4 linked regions of the Mytilus edulis genome follow. The protein of the gene in region 3 purifies or fractionates together with the protein of the main gene of each other region. This does not show direct contact. Links are inferred from orthologs where the notes say so. Each region holds a gene or a part of one and is shown on either strand. Other genes may lie near its edges. The genes, in order: RNA-binding protein with serine-rich domain 1-like, putative RNA-binding protein Luc7-like 1, apoptotic chromatin condensation inducer in the nucleus-like and histone deacetylase complex subunit SAP18-like.

Region 1 (8,024 bases), on a different chromosome or scaffold from region 3:
AATTTTATGTATGTGTTAAACTTCTATACAAAATCAGTAGAATCCCTACCTATTTTCTAGCAAGCCGCTGTTTTCAAATGCCCATTCTGCTAGGTGTAAGGCAGCCTATAAGAATCAAAATGTTTTAAACATGTATAGCTCACAAAAGGTCATTCAGTTAAAATCAATATTTAATCACTGCTTGAAAACCTACAGATTCCTCAGGGTATAGAAATTGATCAGAGTTTCTTTATCTGCCTGGTTCAACTTCTTCACAAGAGAGAACTGTTTGGCTGTGTGTATTTACTACTACTACTGTCACAATGGATATGTTCAACCAATACCACATGAAGGGTATTGCCAAATTTTCACTAGGCAAAATATCTGCCTCTATCAAACATGGCCTCATTTTCAATGAACCGTCAAAATTTTCTGTTTTCATTGTAGTCGACCCACTTTACAGAGTCAACCCCTTGAATGTATATTTCACGTATTTGTTTGATCTCATTCTGAAAGTGCATAAAATATTTACCTGTTCAAAGTCAGGAACTTCTAAAGAGTCATCATATATTTATGTCACATCTTAATTTTTTTTTATTTGAAGAATTTGGTTTCTCTTCTGTTTTATCCTTAAAGTCATAAGAAACGAGTGACCGGTGAAAAATAATGTTCTTCCAATTCTTGAACAAATGCATACAAACATCATAAACTTAGTCTTCTGTGCTCGAATTTATCATTTTTTTCGTGTAAATTTCGTATAATTGTCAATTTTTTTTTCAATCGGTCAGTGTTGTTGTGAAAATATGGCAGGTAATTAAAGTTCGTGTCTTGAAGCCGAAGTTTAACGATTGTCACCTGTTTGTCAACAATTGACGAAAAATAAACAAAAAAGCATGGAAATTGAGCACGTGTTTAACATGTAAATTCAGATAATAGTTTATTTTAAGGACATCCATGCGTATTGTGGTCACCGGATTTTTACGAGATGGGTCACACTGAGGTCACCTTGCATACGGAAAATATCTCGGGGGAATTGCTTGCTGGAAGGAAGCTATTCAAATAAAGTAAACTTCTTCTAAATATGAATAAATTAAAGAATTTTCTTCAGAAAAAAGTACATGTACATAAGTTTTATAATGAAAACTATCCATTGAGTTATTAAAATCATATGCATTATTTTTTTTTGATTTGAGGTTTCTTATGACTTTAAACATATATATATACCAGTATTAGAAGGAAAAATGTGTGAGTTGTAACATCAGGATAAAAGTTTGTTTACAGTCGTGACAAAAGCTCTATTGGTTCATGTTAGTATTTGTTCATAAAAGTGATACTCATATTCTCCATCAAGTAACTACATTTCCCATAATGCCTCTCTCTCTGACATACCTGCCATGTGTTCAGTCCAGTTGTTCCTTGGGATATGAGATGTATTGATTCTTGTAGGCTTACTGTTTCACTATTTGGCTGCAAGAACAAATACAAATAAATATTGGAACTGACAGAACAAAGATAAATCACAAATAATTTTCTGAGGCTTTTTATTTTTACCTCGAATCAAATGTTGAAGACTGCTTTTGGTATCTTGATTAAATGCTATAATCCTTATGATTCTTTAATTTTGAAATCATCAATTGCAAGCTTACATATCCTGGTTTAAAAGATATTATTATGAGATATAAAAGCATTACCAATACATGTATTTACTTTTCTGATAAGATGATCAACAAATTTCATAATAATGAATAAAGAATGTTGACTCATTAGATTAGTAATGAAGCACCAAAAAGTATACTCCACAGTAGCCTTATCTGAATGATATTTGGTGTTTACTTCATGAAAACCCTACACTTTTTCTGGCAAAAAATTATGTCATCATAATGAGATGCTGTTACAAGTAGCAGTTGTAGTTGTTTGTTTAACCTCAGTTTCAAATGGGATTTGCAGGGGAATCCCTGAATAGAAAGTACATGTACATGTAGGTATCTGTTTGTGTCAGAAATGTAAATCAAAACATGTCTACAATGTGACATCATGGGTATTATAATTAAAACAAAAACAAGGGAACCTTGTAGAAACCTGATTTTACCAGATGATATGTTTTGTAACAAAGGATGTCATCTTCGTCTTCAGTCTGTTGTAAAAGGTCTGTGTAAACCTCGTAGATTTCATCACACATTTCAACCTCACTTTCCTCTAACTGAAATTGACAAGTTACATATCAAAACTCTACAAGTCTTTGCAATTATTCCTAAATGATTCATGCCCAGCTACAGGTATATTTGTAGATACTCTATTGTTGGTCCTGGCAACGTCCTACACTTGAAGTCATACCATGAGCTATCTTTAATCATATTTCATGTGATGTTCAGTTACAATGTTTAAATATTTTATGATCTAATGAGTAATTAACATAGAAAACATGTATGTATGTTTATACAAGTTTACCCTATATGATTTTTTTAAATTTGTATTGATGATTTTATGTATCATACATGTAGGGTTGCTGTCTCATTCACTGTCACATATATCTGACATCAACTTTTATTCACATCATTTATTGAAATGGGAGATAACTCTTACAATATACCAAAAATCTTTGCACGAAAAAATCCAATACAACATGCATTTCAGTGGACACAAATTATTTTAGTTGATCCCTCTCAGTAATGATTTCTCGCATTTCTAATAAGGCCAAATAAAAATATATGTGTGGTTCCAGTAACCCTACCGTCTATACTTTTTTCGGCTTAAAAATAGCCTACCCTAAAGATTTTATTTTCATTTTTCATTAAGCACTGTTAAAGTCAGAATGTTGCTCCCATGGACTCAATATAAAAAAAAAATAATAAAATATAAAAAAAATTCCAACCTACCTAACTTTTTTTCAGATGTAACTGGAACCAAACATACTTTTTTATTTGGCATAATCATGAAAGTTATGAGAGAGTTTGATTAAGATTCAAATAATAAGTATCGACAGATTGTAGTTCAATGAATATGTATATTTATTTAGCTTTTAATTTACTGATAACAAAATCAATATTTATACCAATAAAAACATTATTCAATGATCTTATTACAGTATTGAATAGGTAACCTTTTTAAGTTTTAGAATAAGTTTATTTAAAGGAGCGACAAGTTTACATGGATCATTTCTAAATTTCCGGGCACAGTTAACATTTAATTTTGCTTGACATGACAACTCAAACCAATATGTCATGTATTCTAACATTAACTAAATACGATTCTGATTATTAATCAAACCTTGTGAAGTAGGGTCTTCGTGAAAGCTTTTTGGTAGGATACTGACGGAGGATATTTTTTGCAAAGTTCATTTAAAACTGTGGCATTGAGGACAGCCTTCTGTTCCTCTGGACCAATCTGTGCACTTGTAATAAGCTCTGTCTGGAAAAAAGAGTAAAAAATAAAACAGATGCTATTATAATACTATTTCAATTTTTAAGGATTTATTGATTGGTGTAACTGTTTGCTCAATGTCCAAATGGTAATTTTTGTTTATCATATAGTATTAAACTTATGTTAAAGGGGCACTAGCTGTCAAATTCATGGTCACCGATTTGACTCATATTCTCATATTTGATTTATAGCAATGTAATATTTTATCCAAACTATCAATAGTCTAAAATAAACAGTTTACAGAGCATGGGGTAGATAATATATAGGTTTGTTTCGTGTGTATTTTAGTCCAGACGCCATCTAATTACCTATCGATTTAACCTCAGATGACCATATAAGCGATGTACATTTTGTAAACATAAATAAAGAAATGACTAGATTAAACCAACATGTGCAATTGGATTTTTATAGGTCTGTTTGATTTTATTTTATAGATCAAAAATAGATGTTTCTCATTGTTTTTAACCGTATAAGAAATGATTATATGTGCATCAAATTAGTAATCAAATGATTTACCGTAGTTTCACTTTCATTGTTGACATTCTTTTTTTTTAAATAACCAGTACACGTACATGACGTACAATGCATGCGTTGTCAATCTCTAGCTAGGGGTTAAATTGAAGTTCACATGAATACGGATTTAAAGAGGTCGACTCATTCACTTGCAAGTGAATTACTAATTATCAATGTTTCTTAGCGTAATTTGACAAAATTGAACCTTTTAGGCTGCAAAAAGTGAATTGTTATTTCACTATTTCACTGTCATTATTGATTGAACAGGAAAAAATCAAACATCACATGATAAAATTTATTCAACACACCAAAAAAAACGTAGTCAGAATCTCACTTCATTTTGAAACAAGTCCATGAAACAAAGTTATAGCAATAGCCAATACACTAACCAAAACATGATTGAGAGTTATTCAACACAAAATAAAACGTTGACAGAATCCCACTTTATTTAGAAAGGATTATTATTTTTTTTTAACAAAACACTATCCAAAACATAATTAAGATTTATTCAACACAAAAAAAAATGTCTCACTTTATTTTGTGACAATGACAACAATTATATTTATAAGAATACACTTGCTTACAAAGTTATTAAGCACAAAACCAATTAAGATTGGGCGCGAACATGTAGGGTGCGAACGGACTTTGGGTGCGAACATGAGTGAGTGCGAACGTGAATGGGCGCGAACGGACCCGGATTCGATATAGACCAAAGATAATTTTTGTATAGTAAGCCCTGCGCAGAAAACTCAACATTTGGATAAATATAAGTATATTGACGGAAAACAAACATAATATGACTACTAACTCTCCATTTTATTCGCCTTATCGGCACCATTTCAAAAAATTGACATGAAATTTCATGCAAAATAACTTTGGTATCAATTGAGCTCATGGAGGCTGCCATTTTTATTCCTTAAAGTAAAAGAAATTCTCATTGGCAGGCAATTTAAAGACTTCATATTTCGTCCAATCAGAAACGAGCTTTTAAAGTGTAACGGCGTCAGAACCTCTACCTCAAAGATGTAAGAATTAATTTTTCTAATCCATTAATATCGTAGCCATCCATCTACTTTACCTGCATTTAAATGTCAACATCGATTGTTGAAACGTTTAATAATTAAAATTACCCTTTTTCGTTAGAATTTAAGAAAAATTGGGAATGGGTTTTTTTTCTAAGCATTGACCCCCCTTTTCTGTATCTGTTGTTAAAATAATTTCTCTTGTTTCCTGTTACATTTCGTGGTTGTAGTATGCAGTAACAGAACTAATCAGAAGTCCTATGCAAATATTTAATTGCACAAACTCATTTTAATGCCAAAAAAGGTTAATTTATATTGATAAATTGATTGAAAGAATGAATACACCTTATAGCTATACACCTTATCGCTATTTGTCCGCCATTGCTGGAAATCACACAGGTTCCCGTAAAATTTTGACGTCATAAAACAAAATGTCTGACGCCACAATGGAAAAGTGATTGTTGTTGACGTCAAAAGTTCAAACGGACGGGTCAGCCGGGAATAGCGATAAGGTGTATTTGTCTGACGCCCCAATAAAGAAGTAATAGTTGTCTTGTCAAAAGTTCAAGCAGCCGGGATATACCTTATCGCTATTTGTCCGCCATTACTGAATATCACACAGGTTCCAGTAAAATTTTGACGTCATAAAAAAAAATATCTGACGCCATAATGGAAAAGTGATTGTTGTATGTGTCAAAAGTTCAAGCAGCCGGGATTAGCGATAAGGTGTATAGTTTATACTTGTTGATATATCATGATGAATGAAAAAATCAATATTGATTAATATCAGTTCACTATTCTATACTGGTCCAACAACAGAGTTAACATCTTTTGATTTTTGTTGTCATTGGAAATGAAGAATCCATATATATACAAAATGTACAGTACCACTATTTACAATGAGACCACTCTCCACCAGAGCCCAAATGACAAGACATTTACAGTCTTCATGCTTAACTTTTGAGTCCACAAGCCAGAAGCCCAATTTTTGGAAAATTTTAGTAGTATTCTGTTGGCTTGTAGAGGAGAATCTTACAAGTCTGAAAGCAATTTTACATGCCAATGCCGTAGGACTTGCGTACGGTTAAGCGCTTTCGCGTCGATCCGGCCCAAGTCGATCCGTCCCACGTCGATCCGGCCCCACGTCGATCCGGCCCCACGTCGATCCGGCCCCAATAAAAAAGTATATTTATAAGGATAAAAAATAAAGATATATATTAAAGTAATTCATAAATGTTTATGATTTTTATTATAATGTAAAGGCGTACGGTAAAAAAAAAAAATTTCTTCAGATGAGTATACAAACAACTAGGTTGATTATGTTTTTATTACAAGTTTTCAAGATTATTGGGTATAATTATATTAAAACAATTCAGACATCAACATTAATCAGCAGTAATTAGCGTTTTCTTTCAATTGACTGTGATCCTAACAAGTTTTTCATCTTGTGTAATAACAAATAGTTACATACACAACGGTACAAGCCGATCCCCAAGCTGATACATACAAACTTTGTTTTTCTTTTTAAGTTCTTAAAATTTCTTAAATTGAGAAATGTTGTTAGATTTGCCGAATCCTATCTATAAAAGAGAAGACATGGAAGTAAGTAATTATTGAAATGACAGTCTAATAAATTCTTCAATAAAAAAAATATACGAAACTGTTATTAAATATTGTCATCTGCTGTAGCAATTCTTCTCTGTTATATGTACTCAACATTTCCTTTCTTGCAATAAAGAATAATGGATACTCATATAACTTGTGTTTTTTTCTACACACAACTATTCAAAATACTGTCAAATTTATGAAAAATATATCGATATAGGAAGATGTGGTGTGATTGCAAATTCCATTTATACTGTGTCACAATTTCCTCCAAGATCAATATAGTTATTTCTTATTTTATTATGGGGCCGGATCGACTTGGGGCCGGATCGACGTGGGCCGGATCGACTTGGGCCGGATCGACTTTGGGCCGGATTGACTTGGGGCCGGATCGGTTTGGGGCCGGAACGACCGGATACCCGGTTAAGCGTGAAGACTGCATTTAACAACTTGAAGGGCATACAATACAGTTTTGGTCCCGTATTTACATTTTGATAAAAATTTCCATATAAACTATTTTTACCTGATTAAATCAAATATGTAATAAAAAATATGCCTTCATGTGCTACTTTTTGAGTAAAATGAGGTCAAAATTTTGTATATTTGCTAAAAATTCGGACTTGTGGCCGTATTTTCCTTTTCGAAAGAAAGACATAACTTTTTTGTTTTAAAAGATCACAAATTGTTTTTGTTAAATAATTTGTAATTTATGTATTTTATAAGTATCCTAAAAATTTATTCATTTTTTTAATTCAGAAATAATTGTAGAAAAAACATCATTTATTGCTGTTTATTTATCAAATTTTAAAAAATTGCACTATTTACGTTTTCATGAAAATTGGCAAAAATAATCTTGCGTAATCAAACCAAATGGCATTTTGAAAAAGAGGGGTTCATGAACTCGTTTTCAAGTGAAATAAGTTTGAATGATAAAATCAGTCGAAAACTGAATCTTTCCCGATAAGTCATACACTGTAGTTTGACGTTGCGAAAATAACAATTTACGGTAGCAACGTCATTACCTCCCCTGTAACTATCGTATGCCCTCAAGTCTCTGAGTCTTGACAACCTTCAACATTACAATGCTGTAGTTGTGTCAGTTGTGTATTTAAATTTACTTAAATTTATTGATGTACAGTTTTTAAAAGCATTTGCTTTTACTGTCATTTAAAACATGTAAGGCTATTTTGTTAATCAACAAAATACATGTAGAGGGGACACAATTTTCGTTTTACAGTTCTTTTAGGATTGTGTAAAAGTATCTGTTTGCTTGGCTTTTGTATTGAAAATGAAGCCAATTTGATTAAGCATTCCTCAAAATTTGAAATGCATATTTAATAGAAAGTTTAATAGTTAACCCTTTTCCACAGAAATTTTGAGTCCCCTAAAGGTTACTCAACAGAATTCATTAGAACGCAGTGATTCAAGAAATTCACCTCTCTCTGATAACTAATATTGATAGTTTTACCTGTACCCAGACAGTTA
Region 2 (7,849 bases), on a different chromosome or scaffold from region 3:
TTTAATTTTCCTTCCATGATTCTTAAACCTTCAAAATTCAATGTTAAATTTAAACTAATTCCTTTATACCCAAATGTCTGTTCTAAAGATGTTTTTTTTTTTATCAGAAACATGGAAAGATCTTGTAATTGATGACAACTTTTAAAAAGCTATATTGTGTAGAGATATTTTACTTAGCCTAACTGTTTTGAAACTTAGAATAGCACAATGAATTTGTCTTGATTCAAGCATATGTCTGTATTTATATAAATAATATCTCAAAGATGTCTGCATGTACTTTGGTTCCTCTGATATCTTCTTACTGAAAATTTGCACCTCTTTTGTAATTATTCCAATCAGTATTTACTAATTAACCACACATTTACTTGCTCTTTTAATAGGGAAAATAGGGATGATACATTGCCTCAATAAAATTGTATATACATTTATCAATTGTCAAAACCAATTGAAAAAACATTGTAAACATGTTTTTCCAAATAAAAAAAAAATGTGTTCTACATGTAGCTAACATGGCTAAGGAAACCCTATCAAACTTTATGTGGGATGTACGTACCAATTTCCATGTCATGTTTTTCCATTATATACAATCACTTACCGTGCTAGAAAGAATATCGTGTGGACAGCAGCTTAGCAGGAAACTCTTACATACCCGAGGATCGTCAAACTTCACTTTGTATCTGGATCGATCTCCTAGAAATTATATGATTCGACAAACATGTTAGAAACTTAGAAAATTCAACAAATTTTACACCTTGATATTTTGCCCATTTTATAATCAGTTCGCATAATGACTGAATGAAATCTTTTGTATTTTACAAATAACAAAAATCTTTGTAAAGGAATCAAATCTTTGTTTTCCAAATTGACTGGTTTTCAGAAAAGAGGTGCCATTATGTACATTAAGTGTACACATTCTTTTTACATTTCAGAAGCCAAAACATTAGTTCCTTGTGTTGTGTCTAAAAATATCATTATGCCAACTGTTATACATTACTATGATAATTAAGCATTACAAGTTGCAAACTATTAGTTCTAATGTTTTTTTTGTTACCAAATTTTGCAGTACTTCAATATAGAAAACAATTTAGAATATCATAGATTGCGACATGTACTTTTATCTATATTTCTGTCAAAAGATTTGGCTTTTAAAAATACACACAACATATCTGCTCTTGCAATAAATTGAAAATAATTGATATGTTAAGATTTATTTATTTAAAAACATTTATGAACCATACAAGTACTTACAGTTTTACTGGTGACATCCAATATCCTTGTTCTCGATTAAAAAAACTTATTCATATATTGTACAAAAATGTTGTACAAAGGATTCATGTGTTTTTTACAATACCACATCAGAATATTAAAGTAAACTATACATTTAATCAAAGTAATTAAGTTTTCAAAGTAGCAGAGTTTAGTTGTTCCTTATGTTTCTCCAAGTTAAATTTGTACTTATCATTCAAATTTTTCCTTTTTGACAAATTTATGAACACAGAAATTTTTCAAAATCAAGTTTTAGAAACAAAGGGTAAACTCTGTCCTATTATCATTTTTACTGTTCTAAAAGCATGTTTGATCACAACTTCTGGTCATAATCTTGAAACATTAACATAAACCAAATCTTTTGACAGTATTTTCAAACATTAGATTGTTTGTACTTTACATATTATACACACTGCGATCCTTTTATCATCTGTCAGTGGCATGCTTTTTTCTTAGTTTTACACCTTTTCCTCTCACCTGCAACAGTAAAGATTCCTCAAAGCTGCCAACATGCTCATTAATTAAGTGTAGAAATTATCAAATACATTTCAGTATGCAATATTGGCTTAATAAAAGTTAAAGTTTACATATTAAACATTATAAAGTTACCTGTTATAAATTTACCCTAAAATTACCTGTTAATAAATTTACCTTTCTAACATTACCTGCTAACATATTTTACCTTTTGATAAATTGACTTGATTTATGCTATTTATGAGAATGAAAATTTATTAATACATGAAATAGACAAAGTTACAATAGAAATAGTACTCTGCAATGAAAGCTATTTAATTTCAACTCACGGCTTGGACTTCATCACCTTAAAACCCTTGGCAAATTTGACTGCAATACACCTGACCATATGAAAGGGGTCCCTTGAAAAATAGGGATGCAAATTATTAAAACCCATGAATTTATTGTATTTCAATGTGTAACTGTTTGCATAAAATATTAGAGTCATACCATTTAAATATTTGAAATACATGCAAATATTTGAAACAAAATATATTTTCTTTAAACATGTAAAATGAGAACAAATGCAATATTTGATAACTTTTATTAATTATGACTGTTTTATCTCAAACTACAAGATAAATTCCAGTCTGAAAATCTCTTACTTTACCTTATCACTCAATTAAAAAATATATTTATGTTAGATACATTTGTAAATACATATTTAGCGTGCTTTTAAAGTAATAAAAAATATGTATAAAACAGTTACACATTAAAAAAATCCTGAAAACAAATGTTACTGTAAAGCAGACAACTAAAGCATTTGAATAAAAACATATACCAAACCACTCATAGAAATGTATACAACTCTACATATATAAAGTGAGAGGTACAAACTACATTTCAATTCATAATCATAGATAGACCGACTTTAATAATATTTCATATTTGATTCATCTGACAGCCAAACTTATAATATATAAGTATTAATTAAATTTCTTTACTTCAAACATAAGTTGAAATTTAATTTCTCATCATTTAAAAAATCATTACTATCCCGAAAAATTAAAATGTGACAAAGATAACAATATACAAATTTCTCAAACAAGTTTTAGTTATCTCCCCTTATTAAAGAGGTCAAGGACGCCAAAAGGCAAAACAAGATTTTTTGCAAACACAAGTTCATAAACGAAAACAGTGCAACAAATTCTTGTTTTCTTAAAATTCTCAAATTGAACATTTTGTATTCCGACAACCATGATATGAACATTTAGAAAATAAATTTTAATGGCTTGGGTCGGAAGGCTTTTCAAATCCTGTTTGCTTCCTGGTTTTCATGCATGATTTTGTCCTTAGAGTCTTCAACATACCATCTCTTGCTGTGCCCATCAGCTCATCCAACATCGCCCTCATTTGTTCTTGGGCAGACATTGTACTGTCTATTTATTTTTTGTCTACAATGAACGTCTAAGCAAATTATATTTCAACAACTACACATTCATGGCGTCAACACGTAGGCGGATAGAGCGCCACCTATCGAGGACTGTTTAGAAGAAGTCGTCCTAATCCCGGTATTGTACCCTAAATTCTGGATAAAAAGTATGATTATTTTGAGAATATATCGAGTTACGTCTATGATTTTATTATTCCTGTCAGGTAAATTATCTTTATGAGGTATATTGTAAATTCATGTCTCAATAGATTAAAAAACGAATTTACTGTCAGAAATCTGTTGATCCGTCTGTATTGGATATAAAAAGTAACAGAGACAGCGGACAAGACAGAAGTGCGTAGACGTTAAAAAAACCAAAACACCAACAGTCCGATGATAAGTACTATATATCATACCAGAGACATATTATATGTCTCTGATCATACTCATAAATATATTTGAAAATCTCATAAATTTCTATTCTCAGTAACCTTTCAACATTAGTATAAAATAAGGAACTTATGTAGTGGTATGCTTGCAAATGAGAAGGTGGCAACTATCTTCCACTGTCCATTAATTTGGCAATGGTCTTTTTAAGTCTAAGGGGACGGCCATTTGATATTCGATTTTTTTAAACTCACGATCAAGTTCATAACAAGATTACTAGATTACAAAAGGAACGCAACACTAACAGAATACAGAAGGGCAATCAATGAACGAAAGACAAATAAATAAGAAACATTGATCCGAAAAATCAGGGCTACGTCTGAGGGAAAACAGAACTTGCTTCTTGCAAGGCACTCGCCCTGAACACAATTTGATATGGAGACAAGCGTTTAGTTTTGAAATTTCCTACATGAGGCATTTGCCTCAATGTAGTTACGGCCCTGTTATAATAAAAGTGAGGTTAGGTTTCCTGAGACAATATATTCTTCAAGTTAAATGAAACCAATTTTCAGACATTTCAAGTATATTTAAATAATATTTATACTTTTATTATTAAAAAGATTAGGAAGTGTTTCCCCGATTTTTTTGGGGGGAAAAGATGAATTTATAAAGAATCTGGTGCCATCTCATACTTTCGATTAGACCTGCTGAGTTATTTATTTTCAATACATTGCAAGTCAGGTAATTTATTTTCAAACTACCACAGAACAAACCATTTATTTTTGTGATTATGAAGGCTGAGTTATTTATTTTCAAAATCCTCCTGATCCCCCCCCCCCCCCCCCCCGAATATAAAATGGTCGTCCCCTAATATACAATCATTGAAAAATCTAAGATAACATGTTAAAACAGTTTTGTAAAAATTGAGACCCGAAACATACGACTAAAACGACGTTACGTTATGATTTGTTTTATTTCACAGGTATTCAGACTTTTTGGGTTGTATTTTGATAAATAAAATTTAATTGATATAATATTTTGATAATATGCTGTTCTCACTTTAAAATTCATAACATTCTTAGTTTTTCATTACAAACAAGTAATTAAAAGCTCAGTCTAATTAAAATATAGATCTCTGATTGCCTTTTCCTTTCATAATACGAACCGAGGGTGCGACTGTTGATAGATCTGAATTTTAATCAGGTTGAGGGGTCATCGTGGGGCCTTCAAAATGAGCAAAAACCCGACTTTATCGCATAGAAAGCTAAAAAAAACACGCTTACATTACAAATTTACAACAATTCAAACAATATACTAAAAGGGGTATCAATTCGACAATTTCAATTCTTTAACCATGCTTCATTTTAACAGACATTGAATACACGTGATTTTGGTTTACATTCGTGTCCTTTATGATGTCAATTACCTTTGGACCAAATTTTATCTAAAGGATTCAGTTTCTCCGAATTTTTAATATTCGACGACTTTTCAACAGAACCGCGTTATCATCGAAAATTATTCCATCCACTACAATGACTTCTTTTTCAAAGCCGCCATAGTCTGAAAAAAATGTGACAGGAGCAAATTTGTTGGGAATGTTGAGATTTACATGATGTCCACTGTATACAGACTTTTATAGAACTCATTGCTCTTATCCAAAGGACTTATCATATTTTTTTTTGTCTTTTATCTCGAAAACCGTAATAGATAGACAAAAACATTAGACGTCAAAAACGAAGATGATGACAATTCTACAAATAAGTCAACTGAAGATTCAAGATTCAAGATTATTTATTTCTCAAACACCATAAAATTACAATGGTACAAAGAAGTTCATCAAAAGTTATATAACATAACACAAACACACATGACAAGATGAGATGAAAATATCAAATCATATAAAATAAACAGTATAGTAGCGAAGAGTGGTGATTAACCAGGAAGACTCACTTGAAAAGTTATAACCCTGATAAATTTGCACAGCTTTTTCAACTTATTTTTAATTTTTAACTGAAATAGTTTTTCAAATTTTAGTATGTTACATCTGTGCAAGAAAAAAGTATCCAAATATTGGGATCGAAAATTTGCCAAAGAACTACACTGCAAAGTGTAATGAAATTCATCGCCAATCTCGTTACAATAACATAAGTTACAATATCTAAGGTTTCGCTCAATCTTATTCCATCTACCAGTTTCGATTGGTAACTTATGGTTACCCGTTCGAAATCTACAATATGTTATTCTATCTTTATCACTTAAAATATTCAGATATTCCTCAAATTCAAAATTTTGTTTATACAATTTGTAGGCCAAACCTTTTGACGAACAGTCAATATCAGCTCTCCATTTCTGTTGAAACTGATCAGATAACTTTTGTTTTAAACTAATACCCAACCACTTTGGATTAAAATTTCCTTGTGACAACCATATATTGCTGTATCCACATTTATCTAATATATCTTTAACGTATTTCAACCAATCTGACCTAAATTGGTTGTCAGAACTTTTCAAGAACATATATTTGTATAGTATTTTAGCAATCCTGTTATCATCCCCATTTACCATTTTTGACCAAAAATTAACCATACGCAGCTGTATATATAAAGACATGGGATAAATACCAAGTTCACCATAAATCATAAAATTCGGTGTCGACTTCTTAAGGTTTAATAATAGTTTACAAAATTTTAAGTGCACTTTTTCTATAATATCAGTATTACTGAAACCCCAAATCTCACACCCATACAGGAGAATTGGCTTAACAATTTTATCAAAAAGATCATATTGTGATTTCACTGACAAGTTTAGTTTCCAGGTACTGCAATATTCAAAGAATATATCTAATTGCAACTGTAGATCGGATGCATTATCCGAAAATAACACTGTATCATCTGCGTACAATAACACAAACAGTTTTAAGTAGATATCAAACTCTTCTCTATTTCATCAGTAATACAATTTAAACCACATACATTTTTTTCTTCAATAAACTGTTGAAGATCGTTCAAATACAATGAAAATAAAAAAGGAGACATATTTTCACCCTGTCTTACACCGATATTGCATGAAAAGTATTCTGACATTTCACCATTATACACAATTCGAGATTTAATGATCGAGATCTTCATTGACAACCTATACTGAAGTTATTCGGCCCATAAATGAAGATTTTTCCAATATTTTTGCATTGTTGCCTATTATCTCAAAAACTATAACAGATAGATAGGTACTTAGATGCTATATATTGTTCAGTAAGCCATGATTTACAAATAAGACATGACAAAAATAGGAAGTCGACTCGTTATTGAAGTTTTTGCATTTAAATAAACGATTTTTCGGTTTTTCTACATATTTGCTTCTGACATGAGAAAAAATTGAAACAATTTAAAAAACTAATCGCCTAATTCATAACAAAACAATTTACGAAAAACAAATATGACAGACACGGACTAACAACAACCACTGAACTACTTTTCCACTGATTTTTATATTTGGTTCTTAAGCTTTTTATGTTACACCACTGTCTCAGATTAAGATGAGGGTTTTTCGCAAACAAACTAGTTCAACCCCGTCACGTCCTGCATGTTTGTGCTTGACCAAACTCAGGGGAGCGCATCGATCGTTCGTTGTTGCTGTATTTCATATTTGTTTTTCATTCACTGTTTTGTAAATAAATCAGGCCATTAGTTTTCTCCTTTGAATTGTTTTATATTTGTAATTCGGGGCCTTTAATAGCTAACTATGCGGCATGGGTTTCGGTCATTATTGAAGGCTGTAAGGTGACATATAGTCGTAAACGTCTGTGTCTTTTGGTCCCTGGTGAAGAGTTGTCTCATTGGCAATCATGCCAGAATTTCTTATTTTTATGTATACATTATATGCTGTTACAATTGTTTTAACATTCGTAATATATAAACTTTGCTCATTATTGAATGCCGTACGGTAACATAAAGTTGTTAATTTCTACGTTTTTTTGGTCTCTCATGGAGAGTTGTCTCATTGACAACGATGCCTCATCTTTTTCTTTTTATATTTGGAACATTTACTGCATGGTGAATAAAACAATTACAGAAGTGACCTTTGACCAATAATAACCTAGCTTGTCCGAAACACGGAACCTAAGACATAAGCTAGGTCATGTATCCTCTGGACATAACCTTGGGAAGACTGACCAGTAGTTTTGAGTTATATACATGTATAGCAAAAGGAACCTTTGAAAAGATACATGTATCCTGCGGACCATTAACAACCTTGTTCAAAACACGGAACCTGAAACGTAAGCTAGTTTATGTACCCTATGGACATTTAACA
Region 3 (8,870 bases):
CTGAAAAATAACTATTCATACTTGTTTATATCTTCATAAAAAAAAAAAAAATTAAAAAAAAATTAACATGAAAAAAATCTAACGGCAGGAATTTGATGGATATTTTTCATAGTCATGTCCAAATTGCATTAAAAGTCTTGTCTAATACCAAATAATTTAATTTACAAAAATTAATAAGACTAGATAGACATTTGTTTTTAAATATATAGTAGGAATCAATGAATTGTTTTAACATTTTTTTTATTGTCATTTTTTAACAAGAGGTCTCATTAACCCCAAGATTGCATCCACTCTCGTTATGGAATAGGTACAATACCTCTTTCAGTTTGTCTTTATGAATAACAAGTTTGAATGTTTTCTCCAGTGTTTTTTTTTTTGTCAACATGTATAAAACATTTCATTGTTTTTAATTACAAATTGCTTGGCCTGCCTTCTAAATGATCTTCTTTCATTATTATAATATCAAACTCTAGAGGGTATTGACCATCACACAAAAAGTCATATAGCTGTTTATATTCACCAATTTCCATTTTTGTTTACATCTCTGTTGTCCTGATTTAAATTTCAATTTAAAAATGTGTTATTCTGTCCCGTGAACGAAATTTCACAGAAGACACAATTTCATGGGACACTTTTTTGGCTTACAAAAAACTCATCAACTAAAATAATCAAATTAAAACGATGTTTTTGTTTAATTTTATTTACATAAATAAGTTGACTTGTCCCCTATTTTACTTTTGGTTTCTGATGCTGAGTCATGTTCCAACTGATTTGTCTCATGACGAGTATTAACCCTGTTCTTGTTAATGCATTATGACATGCATACATCCCGGTACGTGCAATGGACGCTTTCTGATACCAATGCCTTAGTCTTGTTATCATCATCACCCCTCAGCTCTCAAAAAGAAGCTAATCACATTTAATATTATTACCGGAAATTTACTTTCGTTTCAGTCCATTGCAACTGTAATGATAAATCCCGAGCAATACGAAAAGAATTATGACGACATGACAAACGCTAATTCTATAAAGACAGAGAAGATCGAAAAGTTTTCATCACCACGTGTACCTTTGGAGTAAAGGAAAATTTCAACAGGGAACCTTTCAATGCTCTATTTTAAGAACGAAAGGGCATTTCCAATTTAAACTATTTACACGACGACTATGTAATAGATAAGGCTAAACTATGCACACGATTTATCAGGATCTCTGATGTGATTATTAATAAAATATAATAAAACCAAAATGTATATGCTGTATAATTAATGTTTATTTCAAAACGGATTATCTTGAAACGTGGTGCATTCTTACTTTATGGGCCGAGTAATCTTAGGCCGAGTTGACTATATATAGCGACTGGTTTACGGTAGAAAATTTACCCTCCAGTATCTGTATCTGTATGTAAATAAAGAGGTCATGGAACCAGTGTAGACAAAATTCGACGAAGTTGTCAGATATGACCGGCGTTTGGACTGTATTTGCCGAAAGTACAACAGATTGATGTTCAATGACAAATAAATTTACTAGCCCCTCGGGCTACCGCGCCACGGACATTTACTAGCCCCACACAAAAGTAACTAGTCTCGGGCTGTCGAACCCTGTTGTTGTCTTTTTCACACATTCCCCATTTCAATTTTCTATTTTATGAATTTTTTTTAAATGTCATATATATAATGGTTATTAATTAAAATGTGCAATCTCCCCATCCATGTTTGACTCAACACCAACTTCAAGTCAAGAAAATTATTTTTAACTAAATCATGTTAAGAGTATTCCATAAAAAGATGATTGGAATCAGTTTGTGCAAATCAACATACATAATTTGTTATATTTCTGATATTACAGTTTTGTAGTTTTCATCTATATTTGATAATGAGAAAAGATGAACGTGTTTAGTCAGTTCGTTTGTTGATAATCATTTGTTTTTTGCAGTTATTGTTGTGTCTATGATTGAAAGATAGATCTGTTTCCACAAGATGACTTTGCGTGAAATAAATGAAAAAGTATGTTTGGATTTTCTCTATATTTTAGCTCTATCCTTCAGACTTGTACTGAATTTGTTGATAATTGTTTTAATGATTATTAGAATTAATCCATTCACATCCACAACCATTAATTTCAAGGCAATAATAAGATATGAAGAATAAGTCCTTATGGTAACAGTAAACTTGTAGTTTTATTGGAGTACTGATTTTTCTTACCACTGCATTTATTGGCTCATTATCATCTTGATCTAGAAAGAAAGAAAACAATACTTAAACAATATAATACATGTGGCATTCAACAAAATATAAATATACAATAAGAATCTGGATTTATTTCTGAGATTCTTATCATTGTACTGTCTTTTTCTAGAGGTTTCATTCCAGGACCTTTTTAGCTTTTTATTTGTACATGGCAAAATTTATGAACACTGTATGGTGATATTTAGTTTTTTTACACCCTTTCCTGTGATGGACTGTTTTCTGATTGGAATCATCTAGTTATCTTTATTTTGGATAATACATTTGATGATCCATCTCACTACATATTGTACATGTTATATGAGTATTGATTTGTGTAAAAGTAATAATCTAATTGTTGCTAATTGGTTCTGGTAAAAAAAAGTTTAATCAATGGAGTAAAATTTACATAATATACTGTATAAATCTCCTAATTCAAGCTGCCAGAAAGTTATTCTAAATGTTCTTTTGTATGCAAATAAAGAAAAGTCATTACAAACAATCATTCTACCAGTTACTTACTTTCAGGATTTTCATCTGTCTCCTGTTCTTCTCGTAGGAACTGAAATAAACGAAGACAAATGAGCATGGTAGTAAACCATATTATAAAGTGATTGTCACAAGTTCTAAAACCAAGAAAAAAACAACAGAATCAAGCCGACATTGTTAGTGCTTTGACTTTCTTTAAAAGAGATATTTATTGTTTTTTTTTCCATTTTTTAGTCTATAATTTAAGAATTATCTCCCTTGGGTAACAATTTTGGCTTCGACTACAATTATTACTGACATTTTAAACTGTACTTTAACAAGGTAAAAGTGTGACAGATATAGAATGATGAACATAGCTTTTTGAAATACCAAAAACTACAGGCTAGCCGCTACAGCAAATTATATTTTGATTTTTTTAATATTTTGTTTGAATCACTTTGATACACCTGATACATTTTTCAGATGCTATATTCATACGGTTTATTTTGCATTACCGTTCTGAGTCTCTCTACAATATCTTCCTTTTTTCCACTCTTAGAAAGACCCCTTTTATCACATTCTTTCTTCAAATCTACCACGCGATAGTCATTTATGTCTTTTCCCCTTAAAGTCGGAGCATCAGTGTCCGCCATTGTTGACATGTGCTGTCGTTGATTTCCGTAATAGTGAAAATTACTGTTATTTTTTATTCATTATAAGTTTCAATTAAATTAAATAAAGTAAAAACACAGTGAATTCTTTATACAATTGTGCCTACTTAGAAAAAAATACTACATTTAAATTTCTTTTGTCTGTCGATAGTTTCCGTATCCCGGAAGTGACAAAAAGCTGTCTGCAAAATAAATGAAGCTGCAGGTGCCCTAAAACAATAATCTGTTTAAATACAAACGAATATTGAGGATGACAGCTGTAAATACGACAATCACAACAGTGATGAGAACAGTAGCAGATGCGTTAAAGCTAGATGGAGACGGAAAAGTTCAAGTATATATGATAACTGTGAAGTTTGTGATCATTTCCAAAGTTCAATTAGTAATCACAAACCAACTGTTGAACAGTTGAATGATTTATGAGGAAACATGTACATTGAATTTACAAAATTTAAAGTTTCTTTAAATTTCTGCCATGCTCTGTCAGTTTCAACTTGCCCCTGTTACTGCTGACACAGTCTAGACTATGCCATTCAAACCTTATGGCTTCAACAATAATAGTGGACATGGTGGAATATTACATATTCTGTTACACTTGACCATCATGACCATTGGCCTCATACAACAGCCAAAACTTCTTTGTGTCATCAGACATCTTGTCTTGTTACTTGAAAATTCTAAAGTCATATGAAACAAATTTCTGGTGATTTAGCATAAAGGTTTAGGAAAAGTGAAACCACAAAAATGCTGAACTTCGTGGGGATTGTAGAGTGGTCAGTGGTCCAGACATACTTTTGATACAATTATCTCTGTGATAACATCTTACATTAATTTGTATGATCTTTTACAATAGATAAATCAGCTGTCAGATCTGTAACAATTCCATCTTCATGCCTTTTATATCATGTACTGTGTTACGACGCTAGATTAAAACTGACAAGGAAAGGTAACACCATGCCACCAAAAGCTTTATTATTTGTAGAGCCTAGGTGGTTGTGTGGTCTAGCCCTTATGGCATAGTGCAAGGCAAATTTGGTGCCACAATATCTCAGTGGCATGAATTTCGAAATCCTGGCAAGGGAAGATAAAAAAAATTGTGAAAGTTAAATTTACAGATCTAACATTATTGGGCTGATGTTAAGAAGAGTTATACATACTTATACATAAACATTTATATATTCATCATGTTCATTTAAAAGTATCAATGATTTTTTTTTAGGAATCATATATGAAGTATTTAGAATGTGTTTTGAGAATTAGTACAAAGTTGCTACAAGATGCTAGACTTGGAGGTAGAGTTGATATATATGATCCCTGTATTCTATTTTATAAACTGTGATATGACAATGTATGATTGTTGAGTGTTACAGTATGGTTAGCATGAAGGCTTTACTAATATGCCCACCTTAGTCACCTAATCATATGGAAAAGAAGGAATATAATTCATGACATAAGACATTTGAAAATAAACAAAAGTGCTTTTATAAGTGTCCCTATCTTTAACAGGTCGAGAACTCTAGATTTCCTGACGTCCAAATATATTTGCATAGTAATTTCCAAAACACAAGGCCAATACGGCCTTGAAAAACTGACCAATTGACTCAATGAACTACAATGCATTGTGGGCTACTATGAGTCTACACCATTTGAAAACATGTGGAATTAGTGGAAAAACTGTCCACTAACATAGTGTCTGGGACTCTGAAAATAAATGTTTTTGGTCTACGAATATGTTTATTGTAAAATATATAACATAATCTTCAATTTGCATGCTCAGATTAAAAAAATATTGTTTACAGGCTTCATGATTCGACTTTCCTTTTCGCCTTGTAAAAGTAGTTGAACAGGTTTTTTCCATTGTTATGCATTGTACTTGTGCAATAATTTCACGGCGTGAAACAGTGAAATTTTAGATGAATTGACCACTGTCTAGTATGAACAATTTTTGAGCTCTTTTAAACCTGTATAATGTCATTCCAAAAACATTTCTGTGTAGAAAAACATGAAAACTGGCACTGAAACACTTCTATCTGTACTGGATGTGTAAACTTTTTTTTATCAGGACCTGAACTAAAAGTAAGAGCACCATAATATTCAGTATGCTAGATATAAGTGTTATTAAAGCGGTGACGGTAAATAACTTAACATACATGTACTTTGTATAGTTTCATCCATCGATAATGTCTGTCTGTTGCTTATTTAATCCCAAAATATACCTCAGAGGTATTCTTATCGTTTGGCTGCTGTCCAAACGACGTCAAAATCTCCAATTATTTAAATCCTCTGGATCATAGTGGGTTCCATATTACCTATAAGTTTTTCTGAAACATGCCGTGCATATAGAACTAAGAAGATGAGGTATGAGTGCCAAATGAGACATCTTTCCATCCAAGACACAATCTAGTAAAGTAAGCAACTATTGGTTCAATGTTGAAAAGTAAGCTATAAAGGGACCAAAATTTACTTGTGTAAAAGAATGCAATTTTAACAAAACATATCAATGCTTCCACTTTGTCGCACATAAAATGAATAGCATCATTAATGGTTTTAATAAGGTTGGCAAATGTAAGAGTCCGTTAAAAAAAATCCAATGTTGCTATTAGAAAAAAATTGAACTTTGTAAAGACGAAAAACAAAATGAAACTCAGTTGCTGCTTCACTACCTACAGAACAAAAGGAAAAGTTTGAAAGTCCCAAATACTGAAATATGTCAAAAATCAATTATACCTATAGTTTTTGTTAAAACTGTCAGACAAGAATTTAAAAAGATCTTGTGCAGTTTTAATGAAATATGATGGATCATATAGGTTTTGTGCATGTTCTGTATCGCTAAAATTCTCAATATGGAAATATTACTTAAGTGTTCTACAGACGTCAGTAAATATTTCATAAGGGAAAACCGAACTTTCTGAAAAATGTTTGTATACAAAAATAAGGAGATGTGGTATGATTGCCAATGGGACAACTATACATTTAAGCTCAAATGAAATGGATGTAAGTAGTGATGGGCATCTGTAATGCCTTCAACAATGAGAAACACCCATACCGTATAATTGGTCCCTATTCGGCCTATTGATGAATATTCGTTGTTGTTTCTTAAAGACAAAGGAATAAACACATGCTTTTCCTCGATTTAAATTACTTTTTAATCATAAAAGAAGGTACAATATCATAAAATAAATTTTGTGAAAACTTAGAAAGTTTTGTGATCTCATCAGATCTTTGACAAACTCCTAGTCTTCGCCTTTTTACGAACACAAAATTCAAGGATCATATATTTTTCTTTAACTATCTTCCAGTATACAAAATTTGCTGCCCTCATGCATATTAGCACCGGCTAGTTTTGACGGCTTACTTTATACTAGTAAGTTAGTCTGATGGGTAATTGTGTTTTTCACTGTTGTTTCGCTGCTGTCTGGTGGACGAATACCTGAAATCTCGGTGTCATCATCAAACATATTAATGGCTGTACATCGGGTAATTCAAACACTTGTTTCTTGGCATAGAAACAACTCTTTGTTAATCTGAGCATTGAACGAATACTTTATATCCTGAACTATAAATGTGGATACAAAAAATGAAAAACTAAGCGAAATTGTTAATCCCACATTGAACAAAAAATAAGTTGTATTTTAATAAATAACACGCATGTTTGGTTGATTGTAAACACGTAGTAGTCCATCATGCATTGTTACTCATTTAGTGGATTGGTCAAAAACCCAGGAAAAAATAAATTGCGTCACACGTAAATAAACAATAACATTTGCTGCGTATTGCAAGGACATAAATATATATTCTCCGGGTGTGAGAATTTCTCGTTGCATTGAAGACCTGTTGGTAACCTTCTGCTGTAGTCTGCTCTATGGTCGGGTTGTTGTCTCTTTGGCACATTCCCCATTTCCATTCTCAATTTTATGCTAATTAATTCATTTCTGTATAAGGTAGTGTTCCTGACCTGTTAAAGTCATTGTGAAAATTTCTTAAAATCATTATTTTAATATTCTATCTATGAATTTTGTTGAATGTGTAAATACAGTCTCATTTATTAAAAGTCAAACTGGGGATGTAAGATTATATTTATGAGGGATACTAGTAGTATGGTATATTCTTTGGAAGTTTTAACAACCATAAGGAGTTGTGCAATGTTCTTTAGATAAACAAAAACCAATATAAACAACCAATCTTTGTGCATCTATTGGACTGTGCTGGATGTATGAATACAGTTGTGTCAAATAAAGGGGTTTCTTGAAGAGCAGGCACACTTCATTTAGGTTGAAAAACATTGAACATCTCAATATAGGTTTCTGTTTTCTAGTTTTTGTTTGCTTCAACCAAATGATATGAAACATATACAAAATGCTTATTTCCATAATCACAGAGCAAGTTTAAATTTGGGGGATGTCACTTTTTTCAGTTTTCTAGTTATGTCCCTTTATAATTTTGTATGAACACAAACAATTTTTTTTTAGGTGGGTGGGGGGTGTAAATAGATTTCCATAAATTCCATGTGACAATAACTTAGCCTCAATCTTAGTATCATGATAGTTTTATGTTCAATTCAGCAGTTTTTTTTATACAAACTTTATATATATTGATACTGTTTTTGAAGTTAGCCTTAGAAGTTTTGAATATTATCAGCTTTGCTTTCCTGTTCATATTATCTTAGAGAATTAAGCTTCACCTAGGCTGTATGCCCTTTGTTCTTTGACCACTGGGCAAATTCATTGTGAAATTTACCAATAATCACATATAATTTTAGGTAACTTGAATGTCATCATTGGAAAAGACACAGTGAAGATGGTAAGACTTGGTCAGCAGTGCATGGAAAGGGTTGCTGCAGTTGTTACTCAGATTGGTAGGTGAAGTATGTTGGTGGTTTATTATACTGGTCCACAGCCTCTTTATATGGTCTGACTTTATCACAAATTATTGTGTCTTTTTAGGTGCAAATATTAATAGTTTTAACTTTCTTTGACCATTTACACATGTTAGGAAAGGAATGTACATGTAATTAAGATATTGATATTCAGAATCAGATTAAAACTATCACAAACAATGATGAAATCAAAAATACATGTATAACTTCAGATGACATCAAAACATTTTTATTTAAGAGTAAACTATATAATGTTTACTACTCTTAACATTCATCATACACATTATTTTTAAAGAATTGTTAAATATCTTTAGTTATTAACATGATTAATGAAATCTCCTTTACAATTAATTAAAAAAGAATCATTCAAGAATGAATATTGACTAAAAAGACTTTACTACTTCTTTTCATTTTAAAGGCAAAAAAGTCTTATGATGTGTATTTTTCAAACAATTAAAGCAATGATTAATTTTACAGATGCACAAAGCAGTTCATTAGAAAGTATACAGATACAACCATCATATAAACCAAGTGGTACCAAGTCTGAACCTTGTACTCCATCAGATCAATTCCAATCTTCTAAGTGTAACATGTTCCCTGATAATGTTCTTATGTAAGTAATTTGAAAAGGAT
Region 4 (8,758 bases), on a different chromosome or scaffold from region 3:
TTTAGTAGTTTCAGAGATTTTTATAAAATATACCAAATGAGGATGATGGACTGTGGATAATGAATATATAGCAACTGTCCCTCCATTCTTTCTAGTTCAAAGATCATTAAGATTTTTTTATTTTTACAGGAGCAAATATTCCAAAAGTTAAAAAGCCTCAATAAATCTGAGAGAATCGTTTTAATCATTAGAAAAACATGGTTCTTTTGTTAGGATACTAATAAATAGCAATATCGAAAAATGCTAAATTATGAGTCTCATACATGATAGAAATCTCAAGACATAAAATACAACTTACAAGATGTTGTCTTGAAAGATGCTTTAATGCTTATAAGGACAGAAATTACAAATACATAAATTACCTTTTGTAAATAAAGAACTCACCAATCTGATATAACTTTCCCAAATAAATATATGCTTTACATGAAAGTGCAACTCAATTTTTAACTTTCATCTGCTTGAATGAAAATATTCTCTAAAATTTTAAATAACATTTAAACTTGATCATTTTTGGGGTGCATCAAAATGCTATCAAATCAGATAGTAAAAGTTTAATTCTTTATAGCATTATTTACTGAAACATTTAAACAGCTTACCTATACAAGCAATTCCATTACCTTTAAATTATTATTACTTTTTTTTAAAAATCAAATATGATCATAATAACAATCTATTGATAAAAATCAAAAACAAATAATACTCACCGTTTATTTTGTCCAATCTTCTTTTGAAAAGCGATGTTGCCGCCTAAAAACAGCTTTATGTTTGCTGATGCATGATAAAGGGCTGTCCCTGTTACAATAGACAACTAAACAGCTATACAATTTTCCTATAATAGATGCACAGCTCTGCTATTAACAATTTTACATTCAAATCACCATGGTATTGATGAAAGTTTTTTTTCAACAATAAAATACAATTCCCTGAATACCTCAGAAAGACAAATATCGATAAATCTACCGATAGTGAAAAGACACTTTTATTCAAATTACAAGTAAGATTATATAACCTGTTAAAAAAAAGTAACAATGAACATTTAAAATTAAAAGTATCATTATTGTTAAAAATAAAACATTTACATTTTACAACATTGTTCAATATGGTAATACAGTTTATTATCTAAAAAAATGTGTTAATTTTCAAATAAATATAATGTTAATTTATGCATACATAGAAAATAGCCATTTTGGTCAGATTCAGAAAGGCCAATAAAAAGTGATGTTCAAGGCAAAATGAAGTATCGTTTTACATTAGGTGGTAATTGATAATCAGTTCTATGGTTTAAGGGGGTCTGCATTACATGTTTAAAGCTCACTGTCAAAAAAGGTGATTTTCCAACCCTGATAAACCCCAATATCCTTAAAATCAGTAGCAACTACAACTTAGCCTTATAATGGTTAAAATATTTTTGAAACCTAACACTGGTTTTTAAATATATTTTTGAAAATTTATGAGATTTAAGAATATATGATTATAATTTAGTGATTATAAACACACAGATTAAGCTTGGTATACAATAAACCACTTGACTGTATTGAAGGGATGTCACATGTTGATAAAAATAAGGATAAGCAAGCATGTATGTTTGCTCCCAAAGTTAGGGAATCAAAACACTAGAAATCCCCTTTTTGCTGCCAAATAGACAAATTTCATGTTTATTGCATTTCCATCAAAATATAAAACGTCTTTGCATGAATTTTTAGGCAAATTAAATTCTTTTAATTAAGATTCAGCACTGCTGTCATTAGGAAATTGTGATTAAGTAACAATGTTAAAAAGAACAAACATTATTTCTAGGTTATCCTGCATAATGACAATCACAAAGATTCTAGATAAACTTGAAGAGAGCAGGGATACAGGCACTTCCTTCTATCTGGTAAATGACGTAATAAAGATGCACAAAATTGACAAACTTTTCCTGTGGAGGACATAACTCGAAAGTAGTCTATTCAACAAACATTTGAGGTCATCAGATAAAACCTAGCAGGTCTTTTTATATTCAGAAAAAGGGGAGGTCAATTTTTCTAATTAGCATAGTTTAACTTTATAAAACATTTGTAATAGAGTACTCAGTAGTAGTTTATACATTATTTAAAGAGGGCATCAGAACACATAACACGAATCTCCCATTTAGATCCTCAAACAAATTAAACCAAATAACTACAAATATCACAATGACATTCAAATATATAACCAACTATGTATATATACCATAATGTTAGTCCATCATGCTAAATTTGGAACAAATACTATCATAAGTGATAAAAATATTTACTCTGGTATTATACTTTTAGTTTCATTGATAAAATGTCTAGTTTGCATTTTGAATAATCTTGATGTGGTTTGTACAGAATATGTACAGAAATATAGCTTATATAAGTTTGCACTTAGTAAAAATAGCTGATTTACAAACCATGCCCATTTTGAAAGATTATATAGGTATTTTGTTCTGTTTACCTTCTGGATTCCTTCTTCATGTTTCATCTCATTGAGACACAACTTGAAAATTTGACATGTTTATGTCTTAGTGTTACAGTTAGATACCAGTCAAATTGAATTTTCAGGAAGACTGAAAGTAAAGGGAGAGACTTTAAGAACAGAATTCAAGTATAAGTTTAAACCCTTAGATATTCAATGCATATATACATATCTTAATTATGCCGCACAGCCCTATGAGACATGTGCAAATAATAATCATTGATAACAGTGCATCTCAACTTTTCATTTCAGGATATACTTGGTTAGGAAACTACAGTTTTAGCCATAAAAGGAGATCCTATGGGTATTATCATGGTTTAATTTATATTTACAGAAGTGCAGACCATACATGTTATCTTGTGTCATCAGTCTGATTAAAACCAGCCCACACTATCCACTTGCGTTAGTGGAAACAAGTAAATAGTGGGGGCTGGTTCTAATCAGGACTAATCAGACTGTTGTGTCATATATATGAGTTTAATTTTACAAAATATTTACCTAACAGTTTTGTGTTTTTTGACAATAACTCCTTCAGTCCATCTCACTAAGGAATTCCTGCAAACAAAAATATACATTTATCATTAATTCTATCTATTTCTCATCATATTCTTTAACACTAAAATGAATATTGTAAACGACTAAAGAACAAGAGGCTCATAAAAGCCTTGATTGTTCACTTGGCAAAATAAAGGACAATCAGATGTTCTTTTTTTTCAACATTTTTTGCACTCTATGAATATGTTTTGGCACTGAATACTCAGTTTCAAAAATACAGATTTTCAATAGCATTCATGTTAAATCAAGAGGAATAACCCATTTTTGTTATTCGGTAACAGGGTCACAATAGCTATTTTCAAAAGATTCAAGATCAGGATTATATTTTTCTAGCCAAGTCTTCCAATCCTCCCAATTTTTTACTCCTCTCAAAATAGCCCTCAACTGTATAATAATTATAATGATCATAGTAGTCTCAGTTTAAATTTAAAGGATCTTTTCCTTCTTCTTCAGTTACAAAAAACCATGTTTACTTTCAGGCACATGCCTGGTTAGTTTTTTTTCAGAATAATTTATTTATAAATTTTTGTTATGTCAAATACTTGTTATTTTCTCAGTTTTTTTGTTTTTTTGTTTTTTTCTAATAACTGAGGGGGAGGACAGGGGGTACCCTTCTCCCTTCTCCCACCCCTCTTCTCCATTCTCCTACCCCCGTTCTCCTTTCTCCCATTAGAATAAAACATCTCCTTTTGAGATATTTTTTCTTGAAATATTAGATCATTTTTTAAAAGGAGAGATATTTTATTTTTTCTCCTTTCTCCCAGCCTTCCTCTCCTTTCTCCTACCCCCTTTCTCCTTTCTCCCACCCCGTTTCTCCTTTCTCCTACCCGGTATCAGGTCCGTTCGCGCCCAAAACACTTTCGCATCCTACACGTTCGCACCTCGCACGTTCGCACCCAAGGTCCATTCGCACTCTACACATTCGCGCCCAATTTTAATTCACATTCCAGTTGAATAATTGGAAAATTATGATTGTTGTTTAAAGTTGCTTTGGTGTAAATACTGAATGTTTTTATAGCTTAATATGAGTAAAACTTTGAAGATTTTAAATGAAAAACACAAAACGGATAATTGTTTTTAACAGCTTGGTCCCTTTGACCTGAAACAATCACACAATTAAATATAGCAATACACTATTTATATAACCAAAACATGATAACATTTATTCAACACAGAAGAAAAAAACGTAGTCAGAATCTCCTTTCATTTTAAAACAAGTCAACTTGAAACAAAAGTTACAGCAATACACTAACCAAAACATGATTAAGAGTTATTCAGCACAAAATAAAACGTTGACAGAATCCCACTTTATTTAGAAAGGATTATTAATTTTTTTAACAATACACTATCCAAAACAGGATTAAGATTTGATCAACACAAACAAAATGCTGTCTCACTTTATTTTGAGACGATGACAACAATTATACTTATTAGAATACACTTGACAAAAATTTGATTACAAAGTTATCAAACACAAAACCAATTAAAATTGGGCGCGAACATGTAGGGTGCTAACAGACTTTGGGTGCGAACATGTAGGGTGCGAAAGTGAAAGGGGGCGAACATTAGTTGGTGCGAACGTGAATGGGCGCGAACGGACCCAGATTCCTCCTACCCCCTTTCTCCCTGTCCTCCCCCTCATAACTCCTTGTTGTAAAAGTTCTGTATTACCCTTAATTAATTCATGACAGTTTCATTACGCCTTTTGTGTCAACTTTTCACTAATGATCACTAACCACAAAAGTTACTTTTTATGACTAATCTTGTAATCTGTTATGATCTAGTATGTCTTTTTTTAAATGTACTGTTAGTGATTACTTCATAAATTTCGCGGGATTTAGAGTAACTTCCCTTTCAAATATTTTACAGTAAAGTGTTGAAACTGAGTCTAGATTGAGTTTATTTCTAAACCTGATAATTTATTTCTAATTATTTATTTTTGTTTGGTTGTGATTTTCTCTGAATATTTTTTTTCAATGGATTTGATTAAAATCAATTGCTTAACAAAACCAGAGAGTGAATTTATCTTTGGCATACTTCTCAATATCTGTAACGTAATGAACACTGCACTGTCGTCATACAAAAGTTGTTTCCCCTTGTAAAAAAAGCTTGCCGGTTTGAACAATAACTGTTTATTTTTAATTCAGAGGCAATATAGTATTTAAAGTTTAAAATGCCTGTCGAATCCGTTGTGGAAGAACAGCCGAAGGAGACAGAAGCTCCAGTAGACAGAGAAAAGGTATAAAAGCACAGCAAGTTCCAAAAAATTATGTCCCTTTTGCACAGGCACTTGTTTCTATGTATGTATGTACTCGAGATTCCGCCAATTTAGACGCACCCCTTGATTGACTGCAAGGGTACAGCGGATCCATGTACACTCCCTAAGGATTAATGGAGATGTGTCCTTTACAATATTATCCCACCACCAGAACAATCCCCACCCAACACCGCCCAAGGGAGCGTGTAAGACACAGGGAAGTCTGTTATTATTGTGGAGGAAGCCGAAGTACTCGGAGAGAACCACCGGGGCCACTCGGTGGAAACAGACAAACCAGAGAGATATCAGAAGATTGATCTCCAGGTCAAAGTAGGGGGGACACCTTTGACCAACCGAGGCCCCCTTTAGTTTAAACATATTTATTTATAGTGGATTGGGAAACAAGTTTTGCAACTTATATTAATCCCTTTCCACTTTGCGGGTGCAAGTGCTGCCTTGTAGCGGCATTAGCCTACTCTTTTTCGAAATCTACAAGGGTGTCTTTAACGTGCAAGAGATATGGCTCTCTCTTAACACGGGTCAGCCATTTATCGTCCCCTTCCGACGGACTATCATCGTTTCCTCAAGACCATACTCGCAGATGGTGTCAAGGGAGAGCCGAAAATTGAGTTCCTAAAATTTTCATCCCAAACGGGAATCGAACCAGGAACCTTTGTGTTAGTAGTCCGATGCACTAACCACTACACCACGGCCCCCTAAGTACCCATTCTAGTTTAAACTCCGGTCTGGGTACCAGAGATGTGTGTGAGAGGGTGAAAATTACCCTTCTGATGTACTGATATTTTTAGCACCCCGAGTGAGAATCGAACTTGAGACCTTCAGCACTGTAGCCATCGGTCTTAACCACTAGACCACGAACTCACACTCTATCTAATTACATTTGTATGTGTGATTTACTATCCACACCAATACGTTTAGATAGCTATAAGTATTTGTAAAGATTTGGACAATAAAAAAAGCACAATATTTATCATGTTTATTAGCACAAAAATGTAAATATCCTACCGTAGTCTACAAATTATCAGTCATCTTGTTGCAAATTATGTTGGTTCGTTCGTTATATGTGTTTGTACTTATCACATGAGAAAACTCCACATTGACATCACTACGCTATTACCAGCGTTCAAAATTAGTGCAGAATACGTTTTCCCTACTCTTTTAAGGTTCATCATATCAAATGGACAAATATGGCCGTATTTTCACCTCAAAAACTACTCTGTGTACAGACTTACCTTTGCTGTTTGGAAAGTTTTAATGCCTAGCATCCACTAGATATATAAAAGTTAAATGCATTTTGTGTTAAAGAAAGATAAAATCTTTTTTTGGTTTTTGCTGGGCATTTTTTTTCCCTTTCTGCAGAAGGTGTAAAAATAAACAAACACCTGAATTACTTTGATACTGTCCACTCACTGACTCATATGAACTCTTTAACTCACCTGTAGTTGTGAAGATACCTCTTGTCCATGTAAATTAAGGACAATCAAAACAATACAAACCGGTTTTTTACCTGAGGGAGCATCTCATAGTTGTACCACAACTTAGATAATTTTCAGACCTTTTGCATGAAGGAAAAAAGAATGCCCATCATATTCCAAAAGAGACTTTATCTTTCTGAAACACAAAATGCATTTAACTTTATTATATCTAGTGGATGCCAGGCATTAAAACTTTTCCAACTTCACAGGTAAGTCTGTACTCAGAGAAATTTTTGGCATGTAAATACAGCCATATTTGTCCGTTTGTTATGATGAACCTTAAATAACAATCATTTCTAAAGATAAGTTTCCATTGTTATTGAAAAGTATTGTACACAAACGTCATTTTTCTAATTATGGCCATTTCAAACCTGCATTACAATAAAATGATAAAATAATTCAAATTACGTTTATTTTCATCAATATTAAGAGTTTCATGAGCATTATTTGTATGTTAAAGTCTAAAATCAATATAAAGAAAAAGGTCTCCGGATGCATAATTTTTTCCGGATTCACGGTGTGTGTACAGTATAAATAATAAAATACAAATACATTTATAATTTAATAGTAATCAGTTCAAGTATCCTTGATCTATTTCATCAGTTATATTTTGATATTTGTTTCTATTAAATATTTTATTGAAGACATAGTCATAGAAGGGAAAAAATGGAGAAAAAAAAATATATTTGTGGTCTGCAGAGTTCAAAAAGTGTGGTGTTATAGACTCTCCTTTTCTGTTCTATGTAGATATTTGGTCCCTTAATCTTATGATTTGTTGAAAAAATAACTTAAATAATTTTTTGAGATCACATTTATAATGATAAAATACATTTTTGGGGTGTTCAGTGGTGAAAAGACCTACCGAAAATGACTGTGTTTTCACCTCAAAACCTGACTAGGTGCCCATTTAACCAGGCGCTGACTCCATGTTTGCCCTCTTTCACTTTTGCACAATACACATTGGCATCCTTTTTATTGGTTTTGTGTTTAAAAATTTTGTAATTTAGTTTTGGTTAGTGTCTAAAACAATTTATTGATATTTGGAATTCTGCACTGCTTGACCTTAGAATTTGCGCCTCTTGACCTTGACACCATATAACAATCACTTTTCCAAATGTGGTGTCAAATATTTATGTCAAGTAATTGCAGACAAATAGCCATTAGGTGTTTTGCTAAAAGCTATAAATATTTTTTTTCTTCCTTTCCTAATAAATATGATAAATTGACATTTTGAAAATGTTTTTTGCGTTGAATAAATCTTAATTATGTTTTGGTAAAGTGTTTTGCTATGAATATGTTTTTTTCAATTGTTCAAAATAAAGTGACATTCTGACAAAAAAATTTGTGTTGAATAAATCTAAATCAAGTTTTGGTTAGTGTACTTGTAGTACTATAAACATGATAAATATTTGTGAGGGCCCTCATGGGGTTTTTGATTATGTGATTACTTGGCCGTTTTTTTAATGATTATTTGATTATTAAGCCAAATATTTCATGATTATTTGATTACCTAGGACTGTATTTTTAGTTTATGATTATTTGATTACTAAAGATAAGGAAATATTTAATGATTATGTGATTATATTGGCAAAAAAATGGTGATTATGTGATTACTAGGACCCCCCCCCCCCCCCATGAGGGGCCTCATTTGTTGTCATTGTTTTCTTAAAAAAGTGCCTTTCTTTCTTGTGTTGTATTCACAATTTTTTGTTGAATAATTTTTGTATAAACTTTTGGGTGTGTACAATGTACATGAAGGATGCATTCTAAACAAATGCTTTCTGGGACATTACATTTAAGCCAATTCACAAAAAATGGAAAACACAGTTACAAACAGAAAATTAGGTTTGTTGTTTCTTCAATGATAAGTAATAACTTTCTTGTCATTTCAGACATGTCCTTTGTTACTGAGAGTATTTTGTAATCAGGGTAGACACCATCAGTTAGGTGATTTCCAGAGAGGACAGACACC

The links.
Region 1: the proteins of apoptotic chromatin condensation inducer in the nucleus-like (region 3) and RNA-binding protein with serine-rich domain 1-like purify together in Homo sapiens (affinity purification with mass spectrometry; 6 studies listed by BioGRID and IntAct, with this or other methods). This does not show direct contact. The link is inferred for Mytilus edulis from reciprocal best matches to the Homo sapiens genes ACIN1 and RNPS1.
Region 2: the proteins of apoptotic chromatin condensation inducer in the nucleus-like (region 3) and putative RNA-binding protein Luc7-like 1 purify together in Homo sapiens (affinity purification with mass spectrometry; 3 studies listed by BioGRID and IntAct, counting the BioPlex papers as one, with this or other methods). This does not show direct contact. The link is inferred for Mytilus edulis from reciprocal best matches to the Homo sapiens genes ACIN1 and LUC7L2.
Region 4: the proteins of apoptotic chromatin condensation inducer in the nucleus-like (region 3) and histone deacetylase complex subunit SAP18-like fractionate together in Homo sapiens (co-fractionation; 7 studies listed by BioGRID and IntAct, with this or other methods). This does not show direct contact. The link is inferred for Mytilus edulis from reciprocal best matches to the Homo sapiens genes ACIN1 and SAP18.

The regions. Positions count from the first base shown.
Region 1 is NC_092352.1:76,793,340-76,801,363, forward strand, and holds the start of RNA-binding protein with serine-rich domain 1-like, read left to right. Parts: upstream 1-4,985; 5' UTR 4,986-5,000; coding exon 5,001-5,023; intron 5,024-8,024. Other genes in the region: protein-lysine N-methyltransferase EEF2KMT-like, read right to left, coding at 50-105, 1,369-1,446, 2,069-2,179, 3,247-3,387, 4,721-4,819. UniProt on the Homo sapiens protein: Part of pre- and post-splicing multiprotein mRNP complexes. Auxiliary component of the splicing-dependent multiprotein exon junction complex (EJC) deposited at splice junction on mRNAs.
Region 2 is NC_092352.1:56,820,033-56,827,881, forward strand, and holds the start of putative RNA-binding protein Luc7-like 1, read right to left. Parts: upstream 3,272-7,849; 5' UTR 3,151-3,271; coding exon 3,090-3,150; intron 2,142-3,089; exon of another isoform or gene 2,070-2,141; intron 1,744-2,069; exon of another isoform or gene 1,680-1,743; intron 691-1,679; coding exon 596-690; intron 1-595. UniProt on the Homo sapiens protein: May bind to RNA via its Arg/Ser-rich domain.
Region 3 is NC_092348.1:35,035,778-35,044,647, forward strand, and holds the start of apoptotic chromatin condensation inducer in the nucleus-like, read right to left. Parts: upstream 3,363-8,870; 5' UTR 3,353-3,362; coding exon 3,206-3,352; intron 2,785-3,205; coding exon 2,745-2,784; intron 2,234-2,744; coding exon 2,202-2,233; intron 1-2,201. Other genes in the region: VPS9 domain-containing protein 1-like, read left to right, coding at 3,612-3,695, 4,581-4,653, 8,121-8,216, 8,715-8,850.
Region 4 is NC_092353.1:33,376,119-33,384,876, reverse strand, and holds the start of histone deacetylase complex subunit SAP18-like, read left to right. Parts: upstream 1-5,104; 5' UTR 5,105-5,206; coding exon 5,207-5,272; intron 5,273-8,678; coding exon 8,679-8,758. UniProt on the Homo sapiens protein: Component of the SIN3-repressing complex. Enhances the ability of SIN3-HDAC1-mediated transcriptional repression. When tethered to the promoter, it can direct the formation of a repressive complex to core histone proteins.